Canis lupus familiaris: one gene and its partners. The protein of the gene in region 6 purifies or fractionates together with the protein of the main gene of each other region. This does not show direct contact. Links are inferred from orthologs where the notes say so. Each region holds a gene or a part of one and is shown on either strand. Other genes may lie near its edges. The genes, in order: CHD4, ZNF462, MECP2, EHMT2, CHAMP1, CBX5 and MBD1.

What was found.
Region 1: the proteins of CBX5 (region 6) and CHD4 purify together in Homo sapiens (affinity purification with mass spectrometry; 5 studies listed by BioGRID and IntAct, with this or other methods). This does not show direct contact. The link is inferred for Canis lupus familiaris from reciprocal best matches to the Homo sapiens genes CBX5 and CHD4.
Region 2: the proteins of CBX5 (region 6) and ZNF462 purify together in Homo sapiens (affinity purification with mass spectrometry; 3 studies listed by BioGRID and IntAct, counting the BioPlex papers as one, with this or other methods). This does not show direct contact. The link is inferred for Canis lupus familiaris from reciprocal best matches to the Homo sapiens genes CBX5 and ZNF462.
Region 3: the proteins of CBX5 (region 6) and MECP2 purify together in Homo sapiens (affinity purification with western blotting; 3 studies listed by BioGRID, with this or other methods). This does not show direct contact. The link is inferred for Canis lupus familiaris from reciprocal best matches to the Homo sapiens genes CBX5 and MECP2.
Region 4: the proteins of CBX5 (region 6) and EHMT2 purify together in Homo sapiens (affinity purification with mass spectrometry; 3 studies listed by BioGRID and IntAct, with this or other methods). This does not show direct contact. The link is inferred for Canis lupus familiaris from reciprocal best matches to the Homo sapiens genes CBX5 and EHMT2.
Region 5: the proteins of CBX5 (region 6) and CHAMP1 purify together in Homo sapiens (affinity purification with mass spectrometry; 6 studies listed by BioGRID and IntAct, with this or other methods). This does not show direct contact. The link is inferred for Canis lupus familiaris from reciprocal best matches to the Homo sapiens genes CBX5 and CHAMP1.
Region 7: the proteins of CBX5 (region 6) and MBD1 purify together in Homo sapiens (affinity purification with western blotting; 3 studies listed by BioGRID and IntAct, with this or other methods). This does not show direct contact. The link is inferred for Canis lupus familiaris from reciprocal best matches to the Homo sapiens genes CBX5 and MBD1.

Annotation. Positions count from the first base shown.
Region 1 is NC_049248.1:7,681,547-7,685,507, reverse strand, and holds the start of CHD4 (chromodomain-helicase-DNA-binding protein 4), read left to right. Parts: upstream 1-1,161; 5' UTR 1,162-1,319; intron 1,320-1,898; exon of another isoform or gene 1,899-2,069; intron 2,070-2,185; 5' UTR 2,186-2,263; coding exon 2,264-2,363; intron 2,364-2,639; exon of another isoform or gene 2,640-2,771; intron 2,772-3,065; exon of another isoform or gene 3,066-3,149; intron 3,150-3,961. UniProt on the Homo sapiens protein: ATP-dependent chromatin-remodeling factor that binds and distorts nucleosomal DNA. Acts as a component of the histone deacetylase NuRD complex which participates in the remodeling of chromatin.
Region 2 is NC_049232.1:62,836,923-62,840,422, forward strand, and holds part of ZNF462 (zinc finger protein 462), read left to right. Parts: coding exon 1-490; intron 491-1,274; coding exon 1,275-1,439; intron 1,440-3,209; coding exon 3,210-3,313; intron 3,314-3,500. UniProt on the Homo sapiens protein: Zinc finger nuclear factor involved in transcription by regulating chromatin structure and organization. Involved in the pluripotency and differentiation of embryonic stem cells by regulating SOX2, POU5F1/OCT4, and NANOG.
Region 3 is NC_049260.1:123,060,762-123,064,880, reverse strand, and holds the start of MECP2 (methyl-CpG-binding protein 2), read left to right. Parts: upstream 1-1,319; 5' UTR 1,320-1,572; coding exon 1,573-1,670; intron 1,671-3,259; coding exon 3,260-4,119. UniProt on the Homo sapiens protein: Chromosomal protein that binds to methylated DNA. It can bind specifically to a single methyl-CpG pair. It is not influenced by sequences flanking the methyl-CpGs.
Region 4 is NC_049233.1:1,484,577-1,488,597, forward strand, and holds the start of EHMT2 (histone-lysine N-methyltransferase EHMT2), read right to left. Parts: upstream 2,801-4,021; 5' UTR 2,786-2,800; coding exon 2,506-2,785; intron 2,411-2,505; coding exon 2,192-2,410; intron 2,093-2,191; coding exon 1,842-2,092; intron 927-1,841; coding exon 842-926; intron 745-841; coding exon 704-744; intron 584-703; coding exon 428-583; intron 1-427. UniProt on the Homo sapiens protein: Histone methyltransferase that specifically mono- and dimethylates 'Lys-9' of histone H3 (H3K9me1 and H3K9me2, respectively) in euchromatin.
Region 5 is NC_049243.1:61,535,275-61,539,229, reverse strand, and holds the start of CHAMP1 (chromosome alignment-maintaining phosphoprotein 1), read left to right. Parts: upstream 1-1,155; 5' UTR 1,156-1,277; intron 1,278-3,955. UniProt on the Homo sapiens protein: Required for proper alignment of chromosomes at metaphase and their accurate segregation during mitosis. Involved in the maintenance of spindle microtubules attachment to the kinetochore during sister chromatid biorientation.
Region 6 is NC_049248.1:45,635,944-45,639,986, forward strand, and holds the start of CBX5 (chromobox protein homolog 5), read right to left. Parts: upstream 2,801-4,043; 5' UTR 2,641-2,800; intron 1-2,640. Other genes in the region: HNRNPA1 (heterogeneous nuclear ribonucleoprotein A1), read left to right, coding at 3,456-3,470, 4,022-4,043. UniProt on the Homo sapiens protein: Component of heterochromatin that recognizes and binds histone H3 tails methylated at 'Lys-9' (H3K9me), leading to epigenetic repression. In contrast, it is excluded from chromatin when 'Tyr-41' of histone H3 is phosphorylated (H3Y41ph).
Region 7 is NC_049228.1:78,697,774-78,701,273, reverse strand, and holds part of MBD1 (methyl-CpG-binding domain protein 1), read right to left. Parts: intron 2,985-3,500; coding exon 2,817-2,984; intron 2,477-2,816; coding exon 2,177-2,476; intron 2,084-2,176; coding exon 1,946-2,083; intron 1,593-1,945; coding exon 1,458-1,592; intron 1,372-1,457; coding exon 1,310-1,371; intron 161-1,309; coding exon of another isoform or gene 121-160; exon of another isoform or gene 89-120; intron 1-88. UniProt on the Homo sapiens protein: Transcriptional repressor that binds CpG islands in promoters where the DNA is methylated at position 5 of cytosine within CpG dinucleotides. Binding is abolished by the presence of 7-mG that is produced by DNA damage by methylmethanesulfonate (MMS).

The DNA of each region.
Region 1 (3,961 bases), about 38 Mb from region 6:
TTATGCCAGGATACTGCTTTGGCCCAGAAAGGGATAAAGGTATGTACAAGTTGGGGTGGGCACAGGGCAGTGCGGGTAGCAGCCTGCTTCACAACCTTGTGGCTCTGGGTGTTAGAATAGACCTGATGGCCTGAGGAGGTGGGGGAGGTATGAATGTGAATATTATGGGATGCCTGGCTGGAAAGGTATAGGGGTGGTGGCTGGCGATGAAGCATTATGGGATGTGCTGGGAGTATTAGAGTATGTCTGGTGGACCTCGGGCTCCTTGACATTATTATGGGATATCAAGGTGTGGGTGGGAGAGTAAAATTATGGGATATCTTTCCAGCGTTAGAGGAAAGGAGATTGGATGTCCATCTGTAGGGTGACAGTGGGGCTGCCGATCATTAGAGGATATCTCTTTGACAGAGAAGAGGTTACTATGGGCTGTGGAGTTAGAACGCATGTATGAAGGCTGAGGGTGGTGGTGTGAGGATCTAGACCCTAGTCTGCAGGGGCTGAGGGCAGCTCAGGCTAGGGGGTTGGTTATTATGGGATGTCAGTGTAAAAGTGGGAAACTGATTATTACGGGATGTGTGTGGGAGGAGGCCGAAGTGTCCGTTGTAGTACTGGGGGGGGGGGGGCGTTGTTTCTGACTATTATGGGATATCAAACTGGGGGTGGATGAAGAGTGGTTATTATGGGATGTCTGTGGGGGATGGGGAATGAGTATTATGGGCTGTGAGGCTTAAGTGCTGGGAGGGGTGCTTATTATGGGATGGCCATGGGGAAGGAGAGGTGACGAATTATTATGGGATGTTAGCATTAGGGCCAAGAGTGAAGAAGTTGGCAAAGGATGGCTATTATGGGATGTCTGAGGTGGGGAAAGGGTTAGTTGCAAAGGTCTGCAATATTATGATATGTCAACAACCTTAGCATATAGGTGTATGGAGTGTATGTGTGTGTGGGGTGGTGGTGGTGGGGTGTCCGTGTGTATTATGGGATGGCCGGAGGTGGGTGGTTGCCCGGGTGACACGCGCGCGCGCGCTCGAAGGGGGCGTGGCCAATGGTTGCCGGAGCGACGAGGGGGCGGGGGTTGCCCGGGAGACCTAAGGAGGAGGGTGGCGGTAGTGGAGGGGGGGTTGGAGTTGGTTGAGGTTATTATGGGCTGTCCGTGGGGGGGCGGGGCCTGTGCGGTGGGATTTCCCGGCCGGTGTTTCGGGCCCTTTAAGAGGCGACGCCGGAGCCGGAGCCATTTTCCCCCCTTCGGCCGCGGCGAGGAGGAGCCGGAGCGGGAGTGACACCGGGCCGGACCCAGCGCGACCTGCGGCGGCTCCGGGGTGAGGAGAGCGCGGGGTTCCTAAAGAGACGCCCCTCTGAGCCTGACCAGCCCCCAAGCTCATCCCTCCATCCACCCCTTCCTCAGATGTCCCGGACTCGCGGACCGCCCCCTGCCCAGAGGAGCCGACCCTTCCTTTTCCTTGCCTGCAGGGCGCCCTGCCCCCCCCGCCCCCGCCCTGAGCCGGCCCGAGTCCTGCCCCCCGCGGCTCCCACCTCGGGCTGGGTCTCCCACAATGCCCGGCGCCCGCCCCCTCGCCCTTTGCTCACTTGCCCCCCGGGACACGTGGCCCGGCCCCCTGCCCGGTGGGCGCTCCCTCGCCCCCCGCGTCCCAGCCTCCAGCCCCCTGGAGCGCCCGAGCCTCCACGCCCCCTCGGCCCCGTGGCTCCTCCGGAGAACCTGAGTTGTCCCAGAGGACAGCCTTTGGAGAGCTGCCCTGTCTGGGGACTGGCCCCTCCCCAGGCGCAGGGAGGCGCCCCCCCACCCCCAAGTGACCTTGTGTCCCCGAGCGCCTCGCTGCCTGCCGCCTCCCCCGACCCCCCCGCGCCGCGGCCACTCGGACCCCCCTCCCCCGACATACCCTGCTCGGTCCAGCCTGGTTTCTCCCCCTCCCCACGCCTGCACCAGCCTGCCCTCGGGGGCGTCGCTCCCGCTCATCTGGGGGGCTCCAGTTGGGGAGCCGGCTTCCGGGCTGCCCTCGAGGAGTGTGGAACTAAGTTCAGCCTGAGTGGTTCGGGTGCCCTGCTAGGGTGGCTGGGGTTGGGGGGGCCGCTTTGGTGGTGGGCGGAAAGAGCGGGTGGGTGTGGGGGAGGGGGACAGTGCGCGTCACTGACTGTTCTCTCTTTCTTCCCCCCCTCCCCCGCACAGTGACTCGGGCCAGTGTAGAGGGCCCCAGGCCGCAGGCAGGAGCAGCTGGGCCAATTCCCTGGCCGGGAGCGGAAGGGGATGGCGTCGGGCCTGGGCTCCCCGTCCCCCTGCTCCGCGGGCAGCGAGGAGGAAGATATGGATGCACTTTTGAACAACAGCCTGCCCCCACCCCACCCAGGTAAATCTTCCCCAAGGGCCCTGGGCAGGAAGGAGGCATTTGGGCCCTCCCTAGCGACTCTGGTGAGGCAAGGTTGAGTTTCTCTCTCTCCGTGCAGAGTCTGAGGTGGAGGGCATCCGAAGGGAGTGGTTCCCTTCTGCGGAGCTCTTGTGGGAGGGGGTGGAAGCCATGTGCCTCCTGGGCTCTGGGACCGAGATGCAAGCTTGCTGCACTGTCTGTTTTAAGGAATGCTATGCAGTTCCCAGTTGAGGGAGCCCTCTGGTCTGGAGACCTTACCTTGTGTGGGTCCACGGAGGAATGCAGGTGGCTGGGACCCGTTGGAGGCGGGGTGGGGGTTCGGGTGGGTGTCGAGGATTGCATGTTGAAGACCAGCCCGGCATCTGTGTTAGCAGGATCCTGTGGTTGCTGCTGTGGAAAGGAGAGAGGGAGTGCTGGTTACTCTCTATCTGATTATTTTTAGCTTCTGATCAGTTACCGGTTTTCTGTGATGTCTCAACTGTGAAGTTTGAATTGCGCTCCTCAGCTGGGATGTAGAGAGCTTTTAGCAGGCAGATTGCTGGAATGTTTCAAATGGGGAAATGATGGGGGCTTGGGGTAGGATGTCACACCCTGAAGGATATACTAGGGAGGGGCAAAAGAAGGGAGGTGACACCCTGGGCAACCCCCCCCCCCCTTCCCATAGCAAATGGACATGATACAGACTTTTTTCCTAGAGGCTTCTGCTTTGGTGCAGGGAGCCTAGGGTTTGGGCTGGTGTCATGAAGTGTTTGTGTAGGTGTGTTGGGGGTTGTTCTGTGTTTGTGGGTGGCTCCTGGGACTGGCCAAACCCGTATGGTTGTAATCATCCTGCCTGATTGGAGAAGCTCTTGTCTCTTCTCAAATGGTGATTGATGTCATGCATCTGAGTGGATGTCTCTCTCTTGTCTGTCTTTCCTTTTTCACAGCCCGTAGCTAAGTCACCTACTTGTTTCCTTGACCTTTTTTTCAAGCTTCTTTTTTTTTTTTTAAATGTCATTTCTTTATCCTTCTGCTTATCTTTATTTTCGCTTTAATTCTGGAGCCTGCTGGTCGTGTTTTTGTTTCCCATCAAACATCTTTCACTTCTGCCTTCTCTCTCCTTAGCTGTAGCAGTAAGTTGAGGTCTGGGAAAGATGTTCCTACATTTTGGTGTTTTCTAAGTTGGAAGTCTTCAAGTCTTAGTTTGAAACTGAGGCCACTTAGTAAAGGGGTCAGTCTTGTTGCTGAGTCTTCAGCTGTTGGGATGAGAAACTTAGGCTCGAGTCTCATCACTGTGTAGACCAAGGTGGCAAATTTCTGTACTGTTGCCCAAGGTGGGGGTGGGGTAGCAGCATTGGTAACATGATCTGACTCTCTCTGTGAGGGGCGAGAGAAGTAGTAGTGCTGTCCAGCCAATGTTGGTTCCACATTTTGGCTTCCCATTGGCCCCTTGGGCTGGGGCTGCCCCTGTGTTGATTGGGAGCAGTGCAGGCTCCCAGGGTGAACTCTGCCCCAAGCTGTAGCATGACCCAGTTTTTCCACTTGCCACACCCCATTCCTGCCCCTTTCCCAAATCTTCTTTTATGTCTCAGCCACTTTGA
Region 2 (3,500 bases), on a different chromosome or scaffold from region 6:
GAAGCGCCACCCGGGGGTGTTCCCCAAGAAGCAGCACGCCAGCAAGCTGGGAGGCTACTTCACGGCCGTCTACGCCGACGAGCACGAGAAGCCGGTGCTGATGGAAGAGGAAGACCGAGGCAGCTTCGAGAAAGCCGAGGTGGAGGGAAGCGAAGCGCAGGAGATGGAGTGGCTCCCGTTCCGCTGCATCAAGTGCTTCAAGCTGTCCTTCAGCACGGCGGAGCTGCTGTGCATGCATTACACTGACCACCACAGCCGGGACCTGAAGAGGGACTTCGTCATTCTGGCCAGCGGCCCCCGCTTGCAGAACCCCGCCTACCAGTGCAAGCACTGTGATAGCAAACTGCAAAGCACAGCGGAGCTGACCTCACACTTGAACATTCACAATGAGGAATTCCAGAAGCGTGCCAAACGTCAGGAGAGGAGGAAACAGCTTTTGAGCAAGCAGAAATATGCAGATGGTGCTTTTGCAGATTTCAAACAAGAGAGGGTAAGGATATGTTTTGATTTCCCTTCCCCCAGGAGGCCTCTCATCACTGGTGCCCACATGCACTTCTTCGTTGCCAGCCAAACTGCTACAGGCTTCCTAGCGACTTAGCTTGCCAGAGAGCTCAATAAGTCAATTAAACATTTCGAGCTTGATTATCCCCCGTCCTATGCTCGCCCTTCTCCACGGCCCCGCTCCCCTTGCCTCCCGCTCCCGCCCCCCCACCCCAGGCCCCCCCGGGGGGGGGGGAGGGCTCGGGTGGTTTCTCTGTATTTCCTTCTGCCGAGTAGCCTTATGTGAGGCCTAGGTGCACGACAACGCTCGCTCTCTTTCTAAGGCAGCCGGGGGCCGTCTCTGGGTATCACTGGCACCTCTCAGCCGTGTTGTGGTCTGCGGTGTCCGCCACACGAACCTCACATCTCCGGGAGTAGATCCTTTTTTTTGGTCAAGAAGTTCACTAATGGCGTAGCTAACGCAACGTTTCACCTGCGTAGTTGAAATTGGCTTGAAAAACCACATAACCTGGTGGCCGTGACGATGAGGCTTCTCCACAGAAATCTTCTCTACTCACAAGTTGTAACATATTTGGGTTCCAGAGACTTTGCATAGTAGGCAGCGTGCCACGGCTCTGACGAATTCGTTATGTAAAAATACTCACATATTTCTCCCTTTGGTTTTTAACCCGCTAATCCGCTTTGAAATAAAATCTGCTAGTAAGCTGCAAGAATAAATGCCGGCATGTGAGGGGGGGCTCGGAGTACTGACGGCTACCACTGTATTTCACCAGCCTTTTGGTCACTTAGAAGAGGTGCCAAAGATCAAGGAGAGGAAGGTGGTGGGCTACAAGTGTAAATTCTGTGTGGAAGTGCACCCGACGCTCCGAGCCATCTGCAATCACCTCCGAAAGCACGTCCAGTACGGCAGCGTCCCCGCCGTGTCCGCCGCCGTGAAGGTGAGAGCGGGGGGAGGCCTGGAGGAGCGTTGTTGTGTGTGAGCGGTTCCAGTTACCTATTAACCCCCCGTTGCTCAGAGCAGCTCAGGAAAGGGCGTCCCAGAATGTGGGCACTCCTGAGCTGCGCTTGGATCGGTCTGGCTTGTTGTGATTCTTTTGCAGGTTGGACCTTCTTCATCTTTCGTGTCTCGACCCGGTCGCGTTTCGATCTGGTTGCCTTCCACGCGGATAGTTTGGTGGAAACGGAGGATCCGGGCCTCTCTCGGGGCAGGAGGCTTTGGGTCGCCCTTCTGTGCTGCGTTTAGTGCCGTTAGGTGTTTGCTCTTCCGAGTTGCCCGAGCTCTTGATTGGAATCAAGTGGGTCCTGTTCCCCATCATCTTCTGCTCCTCCCACTGCCTGACTCCTTACTGTTCTCATCTGGCTCACAGGGTAGAGAGCCCCGGAGAATCTTTCCACTTCTTATTCTGGGTCCTCTGAGGAGCGTAGGAAACGTGAGATCTAAAGCTGAAAGCCTTCACGCCACAGTAGGCCCGAGAGCCCCTTGACCTGGTTGGCCTCCTTCATGCCCTTTCCCCGTATGTGGCTGACCAGTGCTTTCCCTCCTTCCCGTGCCTCTGATGAGGCCCCCTGCTCCGAACATGGTGATCCGAAGAGTGGCCACTGTTGGGAACCGAGCCACCATCCCTGCCTTCCAGGATACGGCTAAGCACTCCTCTTTGAGCAGAGACGCTGGTTAGTTCAGGGCCCCGCTCCTTCTCCCTAGATATGTGATTATATTTTTTGTCATCTGCCCGTTTCCCTCCGGTGTCCTGTGTTGCCCATGGAGCACGGACGTAAAGTCTCTGCTTTTCCTGGCACATAAAGACTGAAGGCCTCCGGCTCTCAGCAGAGCAGTGGCCCCCCGGGGGCAGCGGCAGTCAGCCTCTTCCACGGCACCTCGGTGTGTCCCAGGCTTGTTTCCTGGAATTGCTCGAGGGAGACAGAACAGCTCTTCATGTGTAATCAGTAACCCAAGGAGTCACCTCCAAACACGAGTGTCTTGAAACCAGGCTGCTCCTTAAGTTTTTCAGTCGATCGTCCGGCAGCCTTCGGTCAATGGACCGAGTCACCACAGGCAGGGTGGGGAGGAGCACGGGCGGCAAGGTCCTTCCCTTCCCTTCTTTTCCCAGGGATGGCCCATGGCTCCTAGATGCCCACACTACTCTGCTTTTTCCTCCCCTCCTCCTCCTTTTCTTTCTTTTCTCTGAGCCGTCACCCTAACCCTGCTTTGTGTCAGTTTGAATCTTCTCTTTAAGATGGGAGATGAGTGAGTGAACTGTCTTCACGGTGGGAGAGCCCCTGTCTCGTGTTTCCCAGGCAGTAGCGACCTGTGCCCGGAGACGTTGCTCTAAAATCACCAGCACTGCATGAAGGATGGCAGGCGGGCTTGCCCTTCCTCTAGGGGGAGCTGGAGAGGCAGGGGAGAAAACTTTACCAGGAAATGCTGATGAGTTTGGGAGAATGAAGGGAGAGGAGGAGAGCTGGAGACGATGATGATGGATATTTATTTTGTTGGTGGGGCATGTGTGTGTGTGTGGTTCTCTTAGCAGGAGGCTGAAGACCCTTCCCATTTGTTCCTGGATGGACTGGAAGCAGCCAAAGATGCCAGTGGCACCCTGGTGGACCGGGTGGATGGTGAACACTGCTTGCTTGATGGAATGTTGGAGGATGAAACCCGGCCGGGGGGATACCATTGTAGTCAATGTGACAGAGTCCTGATGTCCATGCAGGGGCTGCGTTCTCATGAGAGGAGCCATCTGGCCCTGGCCATGTTTACCCGCGAGGACAAGTACAGCTGCCAGTATTGCTCCTTTGTTTCTGCTTTCAGGCACAAGTAAGTGCTGTCTCGTGATCATGGGGGGTGATGGGGAGGAGATGTCATAGTGGAAGGTGGCTGAGCTAGAAGGGGAGGTTTGGAGGGGTCTGTGAGCCCCGCTCAGGGTTTGCACCTGCCGTGCAATTGCTTCTGTCACCTTGAGCCTCGGTCATCTCGTCTGTGAAGTGGGGCTAAGAGCCCAAGA
Region 3 (4,119 bases), on a different chromosome or scaffold from region 6:
GTTTCCAGTACATACCACAGTGCCTCCATTGGAGTCTCCACAGTGTGAACAAGGGGGTTGCTTGGGGTAGACTGGCCATGAGGCAGTGACCAGTGCTGACACGAGCCACATGGGACAGGGCAGCTCTAGGGCTTAGATATCAAGGGCAGGAATAGTCTCATTCTCTTCTAGACTGAATTGCTGAGAGACCAGCAGATGGCTGGTTCCAAGCCTCCCCAGCGTGGGTGGTGTTCCTGCCCTCTTAGCCCTGCTTTAAGAACACCACGGGCGGACTGATTCCAGGGTCCAGGGCCTTTCCAGTGCACACAAGGAAGGGACCCTACCAGGTGGAGCCAAAATAGCAGGAAGGAGCTGCTCTGTCAGTGTGAAAGCATAAGGAGGTGCCCACCCTGGAGTGGGGAGGGTGCTCTTCTGTGCCTTTGTCCTTGCTCTCCCCTTCTACTGGTTGAGTGTAAGGCAGTCATGGCTTGTAAAGGAATGTCTGATAATAAAAGTTTAGCAGACCTGGGGTGCCTTCTCCTCACTCCAGAACCCTGGGCAGCAGTTTCTGGTTGCCCGAGTTGGCTAGTGTTTATATGGTGCTTTTGTGACTTTTCTTCCTCTGGGGTGTTGGTGCCTATTACCAAGATGAGGAAACTAAGGCACGGAATGTTGAGGTCACTTGCTCAGGTCCATGTTTAGAAGTTGCCAAGTCAGAATTTGAGCTCAGGTTGGGCTGGCTCCAAACCTGTGTGTTTTCTCCACAGCACTGTGCTGTGCCTTATCTCCCAAGGGGGTAGTGCTAGGCTCTGCCACCATCAGTAAGTTGCATCGTGCTCCCTGACTGTTTTATCAAGCACACATTTGAGAAAACTTACAATACAGAAGCTATACTAACACCCAAGCCAGGTCTTTCGTGAAGAGGAGCCCTGGCCACATTTTGGGTGGGCAGCTCCCTCTCCAGTAGTCAAGGGCCTCTTGTCAGCCATGAAGTCTAGAGACTGTTGGGCACAGCTTGTAAAGTGGCCTCTTCCGAGGCAGTACACTGAGAAGCCACCTAGTGTTTCTACCCAGAAAAATGCCGCTCATTCTCCTGCTTGTTAGGAGTGGGACTTGGGACAGAAGGACTCAGAGTGGTCACAGTGCAGGTAGGGTAAAGCCCAAAGCCCCCAAAGAAATCTTTGAAGGAGAAAGGCATCAGGATCTGGGTGAGCATCGGTGGGGCAGCCCTGTCTCTCAGAGCCCTGCCTGTGCTGGGGTGCCCCAAACCCGCCATTGCTTACTTTTTCTACAAATCGGTGTGTTCCCTGTGATACTTACATACTTATTTAACACTTCAGGGAAGAAAAGTCAGAAGACCAGGATCTCCAGGGCCTCAAGGACAAACCCCTGAAATTTAAAAAGGTGAAGAAAGAGAAGAAAGAAGACAAAGAGGGCAAGCATGAGCCCCTGCAGCCACCGGCTCACCACTCTGCTGAACCAGCAGAGGCAGGCAAAGCGGAGACCTCAGAAGGGTCAGGCTCAGCCCCAGCTGTCCCGGAAGCTTCTGCCTCCCCCAAACAGCGACGCTCTATCATTCGTGACCGGGGACCCATGTATGACGACCCCACTCTGCCTGAAGGTTGGACCCGAAAGCTTAAACAAAGGAAATCTGGCCGCTCCGCTGGGAAGTATGATGTGTATTTGATCAAGTAAGTAAGGGCAACTCCTGTCTCTACAAAGCAGGGAAGGCTGGGTGGGCAGGAGGCTGGGGCCAGGTGCTGAGAAACTAATGGGGATCCCTTAGAGTGGCAGCTCTTTTTTTACTCGATGATCAGGAAAATGTGTGTATATCACCCATCTTGGGCTGGGGGTGGCTTCAATAATGAACACCACTTGCAGACCCCTCCAGGTATGTTTCAAATGACTGTGTACAGAGTTCACCGCCCTGAGTGTGACTTTACCCCACCAGCCCTTGAGGTCTTGTCTGGAGATGGCATCGCAGTAGGGCCTACCCAGGGCCACAGTGAGGACACAAGAAAGAGAGGTCGCCTGAGAAACATTGAGGACACAAGGCCCTGCCCAGGCTGGTCCCAGAGGCCACAGGACCTGCCATGTGTAGTGGCCTGTGCTTGGAAGGCAAGCAGGGCTCTCTGGGTTCCTCTCATTTCCCAGCTGGGAAACATCCAGCTGATGGGCTCTTCTCAGAACCTGTTAAACAACTCTTCTTTCTGTCAGTCATTCCGTGACTTGGCTGCATGACCCAGAAGAAGTAGGAGTTCAGAGGGCTCAGTCTACTCTCTGAATCATGTTGGGAAAGGTGAGCTCTCTGACAGGGCCTCTGGGGACACATTGGTGTCTCTTCATGTGCCTTTCCAACTGTCATTGGTGCATTTGTCCAGCTTTGAGCTGGTCATTGGGCATTTTCTATTGAAACAGTGTAATTCAGGGATCCCTGGGTGGCGCAGCGGTTTGGCGCCTGCCTTTGGCAGAGGGCGCGATCTTGGAGACCCGGGATCGAATCCCACGTTGGGCTCTCAGTGCATGGAGCCTGCTTCTCCCTCTGCCTATGTCTCTGCCTCTCTCTCTCTCTCTGTGTGACTATCATAAATAAATAAAAATTTAAAAAAAAAAAAAAAAAAAAAAAAAAAAAAGAAACAGTGTAATTCCCAAGCCAGAGCTTCAGAGAAGGACTGAATAAATACATTTCAGTTCTGGCCCTTAGATGATCCAGAAAAGATAAACAGTTTATTTGCAGACATCCTCATTTGATCGCAACAACTCTGAGAAGGGTGAACAAAAAGCATTATCCTACTGACAGATGAGGAAACCGATCCCAGAGAGGCTAAGCAGCATGCCCAGGTTCAGACAGAGAGGAGTGCTTTACTTACTGACTGGGCCCAGGCACCAACCAGCAGAATGCCTGCCCCTCAGCCTTCTGGCTCAAGCGGGTCTCCAGGCCAGGCCCCTTTGGGAGCCAGAGGAGGGGCCTTGGTGGTAGGCGGATCCTCAGGGGCAATAGCTGCAGAGCAGCTGACACCCAGCTGTTCTTGTCACTGGAGCACACCCTGTGGGTGCTCTCCGCCGCCCAGCAACCCAGTTGCTTTGTGTGTGACCATGCCCCTCTAATTTCAGCCCATTTTGGCTTTTCTCTAATGTGACTCTCATTGAATAGTATCATCAGGCAGGTCAATTGCAGAACGTCCTGTCACAGAATTCAGCACATTCTTCCTGCCCCATCTTTGTACATTAGCGGGGAAGCTTCTAATCGTTCTTTGTGTCTCTCCATTTGTTCCCACAGTCCCCAGGGAAAAGCCTTTCGCTCTAAAGTGGAGTTGATTGCGTACTTCGAAAAGGTAGGCGACACCTCCCTGGACCCTAATGATTTTGACTTCACGGTAACTGGGAGAGGGAGCCCCTCCCGGCGAGAGCAGAAACCACCTAAGAAGCCCAAATCTCCCAAAGCTCCAGGAACTGGCAGAGGTCGGGGACGCCCCAAAGGGAGCGGCACTGCGAGACCCAAGGCAGCAACATCAGAGGGTGTGCAGGTGAAAAGGGTCCTGGAGAAAAGTCCCGGGAAGCTGCTCGTCAAGATGCCTTTTCAAGCTTCGCCCGGGAGCAAGGCTGAAGGGGGCGGGGCCACCACGTCAGCCCAGGTCATGGTTATCAAACGCCCAGGCCGGAAGCGAAAAGCCGAGGCTGACCCCCAGGCCATTCCCAAGAAGCGGGGCCGAAAGCCAGGCAGTGTGGTGGCAGCTGCCGCCGCAGAGGCCAAAAAGAAAGCCGTGAAGGAGTCTTCCATCCGGTCCGTGCAGGAGACTGTGCTCCCCATCAAGAAGCGCAAGACTCGGGAGACGGTCAGCATTGAGGTGAAGGAGGTGGTGAAGCCCCTGCTGGTGTCCACCCTCGGCGAGAAGAGTGGAAAGGGACTGAAGACCTGCAAGAGCCCCGGACGGAAAAGCAAGGAGAGCAGCCCGAAGGGGCGCAGCAGCAGCGCCTCCTCACCCCCCAAGAAGGAGCACCACCACCATCACCACCACTCAGAGCCCCCGAAGGCACCCGCGCCGCTGCTTCCGCCCCCGCCCCCTCCCCCACCTGAGCCCCAGAGCTCCGAGGACCCCGCCAGCCCCCCTGAGCCCCAGGACTTGAGCAGCGGCGTCT
Region 4 (4,021 bases), on a different chromosome or scaffold from region 6:
AACAAAATGGGGGCAGCCGGGGTAGCTCAGCGATTTAGCGCCACCTTTGGCCCAGGGCATGATCCTGGAGATCTGGGATCGAGTCCACATTGGGCTCCTGCGTGGAGCCTGCTTCTCCCTCTACCTGTGTCTCTGCCTCTCTGTGTGTCTCTCTCACGAATAAATAAATTAAATCTTAAAAACAAAAAAAAAACCCAAAACCAAAATGGGATGCTAAACCCAAAGTCCAGGATGGTGGTTACCACAATGGAGAGGGGCGAGGGGCCGGGCTGGGGTGGAACACACAAAGGGAGGAAGTTACAGAGAGGATGGGAAGGTGAATTAGGGGGTGTCACAAGGTAAAAAGGAAAGAGAGACAAAGGGGGTGGGTGGGTGGGAAAGACTGGAGAGTGAGCCTTGGCAGAGAGGTAGGCTGGCTCCTTCTCACCTTGCTGTCAGAGTCCACACGCTCATCCACAGAGTAGGAGTCGTAGTAGAGGCTGAAGTCATCCCCCACCACTGTCTCCCACTCCTCCAGGGACCCTGGGTCCCCTTTCTCCATGGTCACTTCTCCTGAACCCCGTGCAGAACCCAACTCCTCCGACTAGGAAAAGATCAGAAAAATGGAAGCTGCTGGTACTTCCCTTCCCAACCATTTCCCTTGAGGGCAGGATGCAGCCCCCCCCAGGTGGAGAGGCCTTGTCTTCAGCCTCTCTAGGCTCACCAGGCCACCTCCAGAGTTCAGCTTCCTCCTTTTGGCCACATCTGGAAGGAGAGAGAGAAAGGAATAAGGCTGGTTCTTCGACCCTCCGGACAAGATTTATCAGGTGGCAGGTGGGTGGGGTGTGGGGGTGGCGCTGACCTGAGGTCATCTTCCCCAGCGAGTGCAAGTCATCACTCATGCGGAAATGCTGCACTTCAGGGGGCCGCTTCTCTGGGACAGGAGGCTAGTGGCAGAGAGGGAGCACACTTTAGGGTCAGGGAGCATTTGCATTCAGTCAAGGGTGAGCCACACCCTCAAAAATGTCACCTGAAGCTCCAGTAAGCCAGAATGTGGCAATCACAAGAAGTGCTGTCTCTCGAGAAGAAGGGTATGAGGCACATTCCACACCTAACACTCACCTTTTCACTCACCCGAAGGAGCGGGCCCTCTTTACCCATTTTACAGATGAGAAAATAGGTTTGTGCCTTGCCCAAAGCTACCTAAACCATACCCAAACCCCCAAAAACACTGTCACAAAGCTTCTGAAATTCTGGGGCTTTTTGTCCTTTCCCTCACCCTCCTTCCCTGTAGGGAGTCACAGTAAAATCCTTAGAAGCCCTTTGAAAAAGGAAGCAGGGGGAGTTTCAAAGGGAGGGAAAAAGCTCCCTTGGGGCTTGCTTTGAGGTAGAAAGCAAGTTAGAAGTTCCTTAGTCATTATCATAAGAATAATTGGGACAATTAACTACAACAGTAATCCTCTAACCTTTTTTTATTTTTAAAGATTTTACTTATTTATTCCTGAGAGACAAAAAGAGGCAGCAACAGAGGCAGAGAAGCAGGCTCCCTGATGTGGGACTAGATCCAGGATCATGACCCGAGCCAGATGCTTAAACCACTGAACCACCCAAGTGCCCCTCTAACCTTTTTTACAACTCCCCTCTCCCCAAGAATATAAACTTGTCTGTCTGTTCAGATCAAGCCCAGCCCAGAATCTGACACACAGTAGCCCCTAGGTAAGTATGGCGAGCCCTGAAGGGATGAGAAAAAGTCTGAAGCTAAACTGTAAAAAAAAAAAAAAAAAAAAAAAAAAAAAGTCCACAAGGGGTACACAGTGGGTTACCTGGGTCTCCCCACCTCCACCCCTCCCCCTCATTCTCACCTGCCCATTTCCTGGTTTGGACATGGTTTTTCTGGCTCGGTGGACCTTGGGCTGCCCCTCTGGGCTGGGTGTGGCTGCAGGGGGTTCAGGCCCCGCTGCTGCCCCCTGGGCTCCCGGCATACTCAGCAGCCGCATAGCCAAACTCTGGACTGAGGGGGGTGATTTTGCTGCGCCTGTCATTGACATCTTGGCGCGGCTGGGACAGGCACCCCCCTTGCTGGGGGAAGAGGGGAATGACTTTGTGGCATGGCCTGGAAGACAAATAGGCAGACAGAAACAAGGTAAGACGAGAGGTAATCAGAGGATACCCCCCCTCTGCCCCCCAGGCCCCTGACTCCCCAGCCTCTCACCCAGCAGGATTCGGCTCCCGTGGAGGTCCCCATCTCCCTCCAGATTCTCAGGTTCATCCCCAATGAGCGGTGTGGCTCCTAGGGGGGTGTCAGCCCCCTCATCACCCACGGTGACTGTGACAGAGGCTGGGGATGAGGGGCCAGCAGGCTCCAGGGAGTCAGGGCTGGACTTGGGCAGGGTCTCCTCACCACGAGGGGTGTCCCCCAAAGAGCCGTGAACTGTAAGGGGAAAGAAAAAGTTCAGGGCTAAGGTCTCGGGGAATCCTGTGTTGGGGGAGGTGAAGGTCCAGCTGGGCCTGTTCAGCCGCACTCACCTCTCTCAGAGGCTCCTCTGGGCTCCTTCTCCAGCACCAGCGCCCCCATCTCAGCAGGGGCCTCCCCCTGGCAGGGGACACAAGGTATAGGAGGGCTGGTCAGCCCGCTAGGAAGTTGGGGAGCCCAGGACGCCTGGGCTCTGGGAAGAGAGAGTAGGCTCCGGGGCCTACCTCTTCCTCGATGGGGGCCCCCCCGTCCGCGGCCTCGGCTGCCCTGGGGGGCCGCACGACCCCTCCCCCGGGCCCGCATCAGCCCCCTCCCTCTCGGCAGACCCCGCATCTCTGGGGCCTGGAAAAGAGGAGGGGGAGGGGGCGGGGCCTCTGCGCCCCGGCCCCGCCCCCTCCTCCCGGCTGCACGCGCCGCTCCCCCTTTGTCCCCCAGGCCGCGGGGACCCCGGGCACCAACCCCTCCAGCGCCCGCCGCTCCCCAGCCCGGCGGACGGCCCCTCGTGCCCCTCGCGCGCGCTCCTGGGGCCCCGGCTCCCGCTGCCCACTCGGGGGCAGCCGGCGGCTGCACGCGCGCCTCCGTGCCCACTCCCCCCACCTCCCACCCCCTGGTCCCCTCATCCGCCCCCGGTGCTGGCCCTCCGGATTGCTGTAGGTCTCGTCCGGGCCCCCCGGCCCCGTTGCACCCCCGGAGCATTGCACGGGCGCGCGCTTCCCCCGGGCGCGCGCGCGGGCATGCACCCGCCTCTCCCCCTCCCCTTCCGCACCTCGGCGGCCGCCGCCGCTGCAGCTCCCGCCGCCGCCGCCATCGCCGCTTGCGCGGGGGGCCGAGCCGGCGCGCGGCCGCCCCGGGTCACGTGGGCGGGGAGGGGGGGCGAGGAGGGGCCTTAAAGGAGCCACGGCGCGCTTTCTGGCCATCTCCCCCCACGCCGGGAGCGGCCTCGGCGGTGGCAGCGGCTGCCCTAAGCTGGGGGCTTCGGGGGCGCGTTCCCGCCGCTGCGGGCGTCGGCTGCGCGGGGAGCCGAAGGCGAGGCACGCCTGGCCGGGGTGGCCCCTCCGTGCCCCGCCTGTCCGTAGGTAACGAGAGCGGCGTCTGAGCGTCCCGGCTCGCGGCGGCTATCTTCCCGAGGAGGCCCGCGTCTGCTTCTCCCGCCTCGGTGCGCTCTAGTTTCTGGGTCTCCGGGTAGCAAGTGTCGGCCTCGCTTCTCCCCCGAGCAGGAAGGGGGCAGCGGGAACGCATGGAGGACACCGGTGCTCTCGACTGCTTCGTACCGGCAGGAGCAGCGTCCTCTCCTGAACCCGGGGCTCAGGGTCCCTTCTGTTTGAGCCGGGTATGCTAAGGCACCAAGTGCACCGGGGACCTGAGTAACCCCCAGAGGCTCCACAGTCATCACCGCCTGCTGAGTACACTATACTAAGGAGCCTTTTTTTGGTCGCAAGCCTAGGCATTCCGTGGGTCATAAGCCCAGTTGACAGAGGAAGTATGAATGATATTACACCGAGATAAAAACCTTGATAGCATTATTTAGGGTACCATCCCTTTGGGTATTATATTCTGGTCAAAGTTTGG
Region 5 (3,955 bases), on a different chromosome or scaffold from region 6:
TAGCACAGGTCTCTTCTAGTTTTAAAGTCCTATGAATCTAAGATCAAGTCTCTAGTCTTCATGATGGGATGTTTAGAGGTAACGAACGGATACTTTATGAGCATATACCATGTGCCAAGAATGTGCAAGGGTTACAGGGGTGAACAGGCCCTCTGAGAGCCAGACTCTTGTAGTGCAAGAGAGTAATGCCTACATGGAAGGTGTGCACACAAAGAGAGTTGGGGAGGGTGTTGGCCATTGTTTTTTAGGAAGTAATTCTTCCTAAAGGATGGAGAAACTTGCCCGATGGCCGAGTGTGTAAACTTACCATGCCAGGGAGTATAAAGTAGAGGAAATGCCTGTGTGAAAGTCCAGAGGCTAGGTTTGTATTTAAAGGAATGAAGTCCAGTCAGGGGACAGACAGATTGTGAAGGGCTATATATACCGTGGTTTTGTCTTCTGTAGGTGTTGGGGGATATTTTGAGGAACTGTGAGCAGGCCAATGGCATTAGGTTGTATTTGGAAGATGACTGGAAACAGTATGGCGATTGGATGGCGAGGAAGTAAGGCTAGAGAGGCACAGACAGCACAGCTATCCACATTACAGCTTGACCATGGGTAGAGTGGTGTGCTGTGCACTATCCCCTGGCTTGTTCATGGCCAGTTTTGTTCTTGCTATTCAAGTCAACAGCTTACCCGGACCCTGACACATTCTCTGAAATCCATGTTTGAAGAGGCTGTGCAGTCACTGGAGCACCACTGTCCTTCCTTATCCTCTGATGCCTCTTCCTTCTTTGCCCCTTGGTCCTGTGGACAATCTTGTCCCTTCCTCACTACCTGTTACTTTACTGCTCTGCAGTGTAGTGTGGATAATGGACAAAACATCAGCTGCTCCTGTATCCTGTGGTCTCGGCAGCTGAAGTGAGACGATGAATTTGCTGTGGTTATAGACAAGGGTTCAGGATTCGGTCCTGGATTTTAAAATGGAATAAGATGTGGGTGGTGTCATTGGTAGTATCCATGGTTATCTTTGGTATTATTTCATTAAAGCAAGTGGATTGACCCCAGTCACTGTTGGCAGGGAGCAGGTCAGCAAGAGAAATAGGCAGAGTTCTTTTGCATAGATTATCACAGAAATGTAGTTTTGATTACAGTTCCTTTATTCTTTTTTTCCAGGTCCATCTTATCATCTTTGTTCTTCATGTACTACAAACTATTTTCTATAATTAACTCAGAAGCCATGTAGACTTGCTTGCCCTTTGAAGACATACTTTCAAGGCTTCTAGGAAGATAAACTGGTAAGTCTACCAGAGAAAGTATTGTTGGTCTTTATTTCTTCCCTGCTCTAAAGGGAATTGGCCTGGATTTATAGTGTTATTTTACCAGCTTTACTTTGCATATTGTTTTTGTTTGCTTTATAACAATTAGGAGAGTATGTTTAAGATGTGAACATTTTTGAGAAGTGCTTACACCTAAGGAAAATCTACAAAAGCACATATGTGCATACATAATGATGCATGAAGATGTGACAGGTATGCATATATATGACAGAGTTTGGGGTTTGAGAAGTGAATTTTAAACAATTCTTTAAAAAATTTTTTTGAGTAAGGGGTTACTAGGGTCTGATAATGAGGCTGGGAAATAGACACTTTGAGACTGGCCAGAAGAGTTGATGGTAAGAAGAGGAAGAAATAGAGAGGGGCAGGTGAGGGAGATGGGAAACACCCAAGTCTAGGGAGCCATCGGAATTAACACAGATTGAGAGGGAGCAGGATCGGTGAGGAACTGATTGGCACTCCATGGAGGGTGAGAGAGCTGATGATTTAACATGCAGCAGTTAAGGACAAAAGGAATCCAAGCTGAGGTGGCTGGGGGCCACTTGGAGGCAAAAGCAGCAGGAATTAGGGCAAGTGGTATTCATCAAAGATAAACTAATTGGGGATCCCTGGGTGGCTCAGCGGTTTAGCGCCTGCCTTTGACCAGGTCGGGCTCCAGGCATAGAGCCTGCTTCTCCCTCCTCCTGTGTCTCTGCCTCTCTCTCTCTCTCTCTCTATCTCTCTCTCTTTGTGTGTGTGTGTGTCTATCATTCATAAATAAATACATCTTTAAAAAAAAAAAAAGATAAACTAATTTACAGAAGCAGCAATAAAATGTAGGGTTAGTGTAAAATTTCCAGAGAGGCAAGAAACAGAGATACAGCCAATGGAAAGTAGAAGTAAGCAGAAATAGTGGTAGAGTTTTGCCTATAGAAAGCAACCACAAGGGGAATCCCTGGGTGGCTCAGCGGTTTAGTGCCTGCCTTTGGCCCAGGATGTGATCCTGGAGTCCTGGGATCAAGTCCCACATCAGGCTCCTTGCATGGAGCCTGCTTCTTCCTCTGCCTGTGTCTCTGCCTCTCACTCTCTCTCTCTCTCTCTCTCTGTGTCTCTCATGAATAAATAAATAAAATCTTTTTAAAAAAAAAAAAAAGAAAGGAAAGGAACCACAATTCTTTCATAGGAATGGGAACAGGGGGTGTGGTTCTCCAGTTGTTGCACTAATGTTAGAGATGTCAATTTATGAGATGTGGTTTTATTTTCTTTTTCATTTGGTAAGTTTGCCAGAAACATTTTTTTCCCTTAGATTTATTTATTAGCAAGAGAGTGAGAGCATGAGTGGGGGGAGGGCAGAGGGAGAAGTAGACTCCCCACTGAGCAGGAAGCCGGTATAGGGCTCCATCCCAGGACACTGGGATAACAACCTGAGCCAAAGGTGGGCTCGGGCTCCTAACCAACTGAGCCACCCAGGCATGCCATGGAAGCATTTTTTAAAAACTTTTCTGATGACAGAATAGTGTGCTCAGTAATTTCTGTAGGAAGAGAACAAAATGCTTTACTCTTAAAGTTCATAATCTGATTCCTGTATTATACACTTATTGGGCTTATTGATAACCTCTATTTTATGAACTAGTATTGGTAAAAAGTTGATGAGTTAACATACAGGAAATGAAAGTTGTTTTGTTGATAGGACTGTAAATTAGGCAAAGACAATAGAGAGGTACTGAGTAAGATACTTTCTCCCACTCTACACTAGTTTCTTGAGAAGATGGGAAAAGTTTCATAGTTAACAGTTTAAGTTTAAGAAACGCAAGTTGTGAAAGTACAAAGTCTATCTTCCTGTCATAAATAGGACTTGAGTATATTTCAGATGAGATACTGCGTGCTGGTCAGCCATAACTTTAGCAAGGTCATTGGGCAATATTTACTTACCAGAAACTGAACTGTTGGTTAGAGGATGCCCTTGTAGTTTCTAGTATAATAATCATAGCTGACACCGACAGTTCACCATGAGATACTGTTCTAAATATGCTACAAAATATTAACATCCGTCCAGGAACCTGAAACGTAAGTTCAGCAACCTAACAAAAGCCATATACTGGAACCAGGACTCACTCAAACCCAACAAGCCTGAGGTCTTAACCTCTGTGTCATATATATGCAACTTAGGGTTTATTATACTATAATGATGGTTTTTAATATGTAATGTCCCCCTTATGAACATCCCTTGACTGTTGATTGTGGCCGTTTAGGCCAGATGCGGTTATTGAGAAATCGCTGCCTTTTCTTATAACATTCTTATACTTTTATGAGACACTGGGTTTTAGGTGGATCGTTAACCTGCACATTCTTTCTACATGTTATCTTCATTATGTTTGCAAGTTTCAGAGATTTTTTTTATTCAGTATTCAGTGATTATATTCTTTTTTTAGTCAGCCCATAGAGCCCTAAAAACAATTTTCTGAAAGCCAGGATAGTTGCAGCTCCTGAAGCTCCTGAAGGAGCTAATACTTTCTGAAAAGCACTCGTTTGTTTCCTCAACTGTCTTGTCACCTTTTTATATTTAAACTGCTACCCCCAAATGCAAATAATAAACCGGTAATATAGGTGATAGAAAACAGTGTTGTAGGCAATAACATCTTCAAGACAAGTTCTCAAAA
Region 6 (4,043 bases):
GATCCATTTATCAAAGGCTACTTCCTAAACACTTCATTCACCTTCTCCCACTAATTTCCAATTATTAAAATAAAATACTTTGACAAGATTATCAACTCTAGCATCTGTCATTTTATTTATTTTTGTAAATTTAAGTAATCTCTTCACCCAATGTAGGGCTCAAACATGACTCGAGAGCATCAAGAGTTGCATGCTCCTCTGCTGAGCCAGCCAGGTACCTCCAGCATGTCAACTTAAATCAACGTTGCTTTTTAAATTTTTTTATTAATAGTGAATTCTTTAGCTGCACTCCCAACGTGGAGCTTGAAGTCACCACCCTGAGACCAAGAGTCACATTCCTCAGACCCAGCCTGCCAGGCACCCCTAAATCAACAGTTTTCAACCGAGGAAGATTTTGCACCACCACCGCCACCATCACTACCACTGACATCCCCAGGACATCTGGCAATGTGTGGTGACATTTTGATAGTCACAAATGGGTGTGAGGGAGGAGGTGAAATGCATTTATTAGCTTAAAATGTCAATAGTGCTGTAAGAAATCCCGTAAGTCAAGACTATTTCTTTTGAACCTAAATAAATTAGGGAGAACTGTAATTTAGATCCCTTTAGTTCTTATAAACTCAGCAGAAGCAGCTGATTAGCACACCTACAGTTTATAAGGAAATACGAAATCAAGTTGTCCTCTTGCAAGTGTCAGAAAACACAAATCTCTCCAGTCTTCATTATATGGACAACTAAAATTAACTTTCCTTTGTATAATGTCACAAAGGTCTATAATCAGAAGTGTCCTTCATACACAGTTAAACGTATTACAGCATCTAAACATCTTTCTAATAACCTTATGCCATTGATCAAGAGGGCAATTTAGATTCTGATATAACCATTATGTAACGAAAACGTCTTTATTTTTACTAAAACATCTTCAAATCAGCTGAATGGGTGTTACCAACAGGTGATTACAGTGCCTGTAAAATAAACACTTTGAAGAAAATACAATGAAGGCAATGGAATAATCCAGGTGATGGAGGAGTCCTCCTACCCCTAACACCCTAAATATCATCCATGTTAAGCAATTTGTCAAAATTCAGACATCCTTAGAGGAATAGCAGAAAGAGTCTCGGAAACTTTTTAATGGATGGGACGCCTGGGTGGCTCAGTGGTGGAGCGTCTGCCTTGGGCTCAGGGCGGGACCCCGGGGTCCTGGGATCCAGTCCCGCATCCGGATCCCTGTGGGAGGTCTGCTTCTCCCTCTGCCTGTGTCTCTGCCTCTGTGTGTTTCAAGAATAAATAAAATCTTTAAAAAAGAAAAAAAAAAAAAAAGGAAAGAAACCTTTTAATGGTGTAAAGAAAGATACAAAAGTTCACAGAAGAGACTGAGGTAAAAAAAAAAAAAAAAAAGACTGAGGTAAAGGCGTGGAAACACAGATGATGCGTGTAAAGGGTTTACTTACTTAGCACAGCGTCTCCCTGGCAGGTACTAAGTACACAAAAGAAAGTCAAGTTTTTAAAATTGTGTTTTTATTCTGAGCATCACCGTGTTAGTTCCGCCGGCGCGCGGGGGGGCGGGGGGGGGGGGGGGAGGACAGCACTCTCTCGTGGTGTAGGGATGACACAGGGGGAGGGGAGGAGCAGGGGATCGTGCCTGGAAACACGAGGGCTGCCTTTCCCATCTTCACCGAGTCACAAACTGCGATCCCTGAAAGGACTTGAGCGGGAGGGACGCCACCTGCCCGGATCCCACCCGGGCCCTGGACACGGACGCACGGCGGGAGGCGGCCCTTCCCACACTTCTCCTGCGGGCTCACGAGCATCCGCCACCGGTCCGGGGAAGGCCGCGGCGTTCCGCGCACACGTGGGTCGGCGCCTGTCCGCGACGGCAGCGGCTCTTGTTCCGATGCGCGCGGACGCTGCCGGCCAAGCGGGTTCCCGACGACCGGCCGAGCTCCCCTGGGAGCCTCCACGCGCGGGGCGACCAGAAGCCCCGGGGTGCGTGTGCGCGTGCGCGTGCGCGAGCGCGTGGAGCGGTTATGCCGAAGCCGAAGCGACACGCCACAGAGTCAGGGTCTCCCTACCGGAAACGCGTGTGGGGTGAAGGCCCGAGCGCCGGGCGCCGGCGGCCACTGTGGAGAGAACGCGCGCCCCCGCGCCCCCGCGCCCTCCCGCCCGCTCCTCCACAGCCCGCAGCGAGGCCTCCCGCTTCCGCACCGCTGACTGGGCGACCCGCCCGGGCGCCGTCCGCAGGCCGCCCGCCGCCGGCTCCACAGCGGGGCCTCCCCCTCGGAGTCCGCCCGCCGCCTCCGAGGAGCCCAACCTACGGCGCGCTCGGCGCCCATTGGCTCGGCGGGACGCTGCTCAGGGCGCAGGGCCCGCCCCCACGTCCCGAGGGCCCGAGGGCCCGTCCGTCGGCGGCAAAGGCGGACCCGATTGGCCCGCGCGCAAGCCAGTCAGACTCCGGGCCGCGGAGCCCCACGGCACTCCCGGCCGGCAGACATCCCGCCCCCGCCGTCCATTGGTTGGCTGAACCCAGCGCTCCCCCTTTACGAGCCCCCACCCCGCGCTCCATTCATTTCACACAATAACGGGCCCAATTGGAGTCAGTTCAACACCTCGTATGAGTAGGCGAGACGATCCGCCGCTTACCCGGAATCGAGACCGGCCACTCGCGCCAACGCCTCCCCTGTTCCTCTGTGGCGAGGCCGGACCACGGGACGCCGCCGCCGCCGCCTTCTGCGCAACGCCAACCGCCCGCCAAAACGGATCCTTCCCTGCGCCTGCGCGGCCAATCCTGCGACCGGACCCTTTCTCCGCCCATTACGCCTGCGCAGAGCGGGGCGCGACTCCCGCCACGACGCAGGCGCCGTAGAGTCGCCGCCGTCTCCCGCCCGCCATTTCACGTGCTCCAAGCGCCGAGCGGAACTGGTTAGTGCGCCTGCGTAAACTCGCCATTTTACTACACATGCGCCCGGCGGGCGGTCGTTTGCAAAAAAAAAAAAAAAGAAAAAAAAATCACCTGATAACCTCGTTCGTAATATATTAGCATTTACCGTGCTTCGCCAACTGAGCGGAACATAATTTCGGGGCGGAATGGATTGAAAATTCATTTAAATACCTTAGGTTCGTTCAAATATGAATGACTGGTTGACGAGCCAATCACAGTAATTAGGAATAATATTACCCGGGAACCAATAGACCTGAAGGGGCGGAGCCTGCGTAGAACGCCCAAGCGGATGACGTTGCGCAGCAGTGCGGGGCTATAGACCAATAGCAGGGGGAGGCTATCGCAAACATCCAATCAGAGACGCTCAGGGGCGGAGTCTACCAATGCCTAAAGCGAGGAGGCGGGATAAAAAAGCGAGGCCGAAGGTAGGCTGGCAGATACGTTCGTTAGATTACTCCTTTCTGCCCCTGGACGCCGCCGAGTAAGCATCGTTAAAGTCTCCCCTCCCACCGCCGTCATGTCTAAGTCAGAGGTGAGTAACACGCTGTCTCCCGCCTAGTTTCCTTCCTCACTCCTTCCCTGGGGCCGGTAGGACGCGGCCTGGCGTGGCCGCTCGCGCCAGCCCGTTCGGCAGCCCTTCGGGGGCCGCCAGGGCCTTCCCCTCCCGAAGTTGAGGTCGCCATTTTGTCCTCGTCGTCGCCATGAGGCCGCCGTCCTGCAGCGCTTGGCTGTGGCGCCGGGCTGCGCCCTCCCGGCAGAACTCGCGGGCGCATTCGACGGGTTTTGTTTGATCGTGTCTCCGGGAGCGAGTTTCTTGCGGAGCAGCCGTAGTTCCCCGCCGCTTCGGCGTCCGTCCAGCCGAGTCCTTTTGTTGCGCGTGCGTCGGAGGGAGAGTCGGGGCGCATGCGCCCGCGGCCTCCCAGCCCCCACCGCTCGGTCCCCCCCGAGGGGAGAAGCACGTGGCCTCCCGTAACCCGAGGGAACAATACGTGCCTTGTAACGCTGCTGTCTAGGATTTTCCTCCCAACGGGACGGGGCTGGGCGTTGGGCGCGCCACGTAACGAGCTGTGTCCCCGCTCCTAGTCTCCCAAAGAGCCCGAGCAGC
Region 7 (3,500 bases), on a different chromosome or scaffold from region 6:
CCTATTGAATCCTACATAAGACCCCTTGGTCTACAGTCCAGCCTGAGTAGATCAGTGTTCTCTCATAAAGCCAGTCTATAAATACCACCTTGAATCCTAAAGTCTGCAGAAGCCTCCAGTCTACTGCTTTCTAGCTCCAGGTTTTTTAAGGTCCTTGGACCTAGAGAAGAGGGAGCAGGTCCATATGTTGAATGAAGTTTGCTCTTTGCAAAATGGAGCATCACAAAACCATTTCCTAGTATTCTGTGCCCACCACTGATTTCCCCATAATTATCCTTCATCTATCTTCTCGCTTCCAAAATATTACACTATAAACAACCTAAGACATCGTTATCTTCTCCATTAACGTGTAACAATTTCACACATAGGGAAATTATTTCCTTAGATAATAAGCTCCCTGAAAGCAGGGATCCATGTCTCCTGAAGGGTCACTGTATTCACCACTGTATCTCTCACACTGCAGTGTACCTAGCAGGTACTCCATTAATACCTCTGGTACTGCCCAAGGCAGATGGAGTTTCTGGCCTGCATGACTAGTTTGTGGGAACAAAGGAATCCAAGTGCCTAGGCCAACAGCTTATGTTGCCTGTGTCTCAGCCTATGTGCACAGCCTGTGATCAATCTGCAAGAAGTAGCATTCCCCTGTCCTCCTCCCACCAGCCCTGCCCTTAGGGGCAGCTATCCTTCATCCTATTGCCAGGTCTGCAGCGACAGTTCTATGCAGCACCTAAAACTGTTAATAACCTCAGTAGGCTCAGGAAAGGCTCACAAAACATAGCCCAATCCTGTCCACAAAGGCTGTTCTAGAAGGTGGAGGACTAGCCTGAGATTTCACAGTTGCATGTGGACCCAGATCAGAGGCAGCCACAGGACCCAGATCTACTGCCTATCCACCACTGTCCAGCCCATCTGTCATCTCTTGGAGACTCCAGAGACCTTCAAGACCCCAAATGATGATTTTCTGAATAAAAATTTACATATTAAAACTGACCCCTTCTGGATTTTCTTAGGAAGCTGTGGACCAGGCTTTTATCTCTTTCTTTCAAATCTCATCGCAGGGCATCAAGTCCTCACCCTCCACTGACCCCTGTTCCCCTGCCACCCCCACCCCTACCTCCCCACATACCCAAGGAAAGCCCTGACATGAACCTCAGGAAAAATCTCTAGGGTTCTGCACACAACCCCTCACTGCTCATGATCATCACAGTGATATGAGCATCACACCAAATTACTGATTCTACTTTTAAAACTCAGGGCCCATGTGTGACCAGCACCAACCACATACCACCCCTCATTGTGCGGGGCACACCTTGGCAACCAGACTGCTGTGTCCCGGAGGCGGGTTCCACCCAGGCTGAAAATCTCCGTGATCTGGGAAAGAATTAACATCATGGGTCATCATGGCCAATGAGGCTAAAGCAGGGTCAGGGCAGGGTGAAGTGTCCCCCAGCACTGACCACGGGTGTGCCAGCCCCTCCTGCCTCCTCCTCTGGGGCCGAGTCGGAGGCGGAATCATCCTTGTTCTCTTCCTCCTTGTCCTCCTCAGGGTCCAGTGGCTCTTGCTTCACAGGTGGCAGGCCTGGGTCTACTGCCTGGGGGAGGTGGGAAACAGGCAGGAATCAGAAGGGCAGGGTGGGCCTAAGGAAAGAGTCTCTCATCAGCCAACCTGTCAGTGTACTGACAAATCCCACTCTGTCACACTTCAGACCAGAAAATCCATCTCTCAGCCTATAAACCTTTCCCATTCCTCAGAGAATTCCATTTTTCTGTTAGCTGGACAGCAAAGCAGGCAAAGTTAGTTGCCTGGGGAGGGTGGGACATCTGTCAGACAGGTGGGGTAATTTTATGGTGAGGCTGCAATCAGCACATCTACTGCTCTGCTCCAAGAACCAGCATCACGGCTCACCATCACTCGGCTCACAGACCACCCATCACTGACCCCCACCTTGCTGGGGCAGCCAGACAGCAATACAGGAGAAGTCAGGATGGCTGTGCCCGGTGTCCAGTCTTCCTGGGCATCCGCCTTCTCTTGCTTCACCTGGGGTAAGGCCACAACCCAACTCAGGCCAGGGCACTGGGCCTCCTGTGTGAAGGAGGATTGCAGCAGACTTGGTCCCAGCTTTCTGGCACAAGGCTGGGTAGGGCTGGGAAGGGCAGGATAAGATGAGACCCTCACCTGCAACAGGGCTTCTGTGGAAGTTGCAGCAGGGCCAGGCACCTGCACAGGACTGCCTGCACCTTCCCGTAAGAACACAAGGTCGGTGCCAGGTGGGGGGAGCACAAAGCCACTGTCCGTTTCCTGTTTCACTGGAGTCTGGGCACAGCCTGATAGGGCTGTGGGTGTAGTCAAGGAGGTCTTCAGTATCTGGCCCAGACGAGGCCGTCGAGTAGAACCAGGTCTCTTTCGACGAGAGTAAGATGGTGGTGGCCCTGCCCCATCCTCAGATCCTGCCCAGACGCTAGGCAGCAGCCGCTTCTGAAGAAAGACAGGATGTTATGGCCACCTGGTGCGATGACCAACTATACCACCCTGTCCTGACAAATGTGCCTGCAGGTGCTCATTAGTGCTGGCACAGAATCTGCTTACCCATGAGGCCCTCATCATCGAGCCTGCTGGTCTCCTGTTAGCAATGCCACTGACACCCAGATCCTTCATTTGCCAATCTTTGGCTGAACCTATTGCCCCGCCTACTCCTCTGAAGACACAGAACCCAACTGGACTGCCCCACTCAGCTGCCGGACCTACCCACCACTCCCAGGCACTGGAGGCCCTGGATCAACTTGGCCCACCCACCAACCTATCCTGCCCCACCCACCATGGCAAACTGTAGGCATTGGCGCCAACGACACTTCTGGCGCTTCTGGTTGTTGCCCCCAAATTTGGGCTTGTCACAGCAGAAGTCGCAGTGACCACAGTCCATCCGGCGTAGGCAGGCGGCACAGGCCCCACACTTGCGGTTCTGCCGGCGGTTCGTGTAAGGCTGCTGGGGGACAGGCAAAAGGAGGGTGCTATTACTGACAGTGCTGTTCCTGTTGCTCCTTCACTAGCCCCATCGGAGGAAACAGGCTGTGCGTTGGTCTTAGTCACACCTCAGCATCTGTGAGTCCAACACCAGGCACTATCACTATACTGGATAGTGCCCAGTACTGTCAGGATGGTGGCTGCTCCAACACCGTATCTGTCACGTCATCTGCTAGACCAGTGGCTATTAAGACAATGTCTCTGACCCCCATTTCCAGCAGAATTTTGCTGACCCTCTGTAGCTGCTTCCATTGTGCCTGCTGTACTTGCTCAGCCTATGTGAAATCCATTCACTATGCTATCAGCCCCACCAGAGTTGATTTATCTGACCACTAAGTACTGTTGCTGCACCTGTCGATCCCATGTTAGTCCCTCCCCCACTGTCTGCTCACCCCATACTAGTACCCGTTACTGTGCCTTGCTGTTCCCCTATTAGGCCCATTGCAGCAGCTGCTTCTTTGGGCTTAACCAAGTGCCC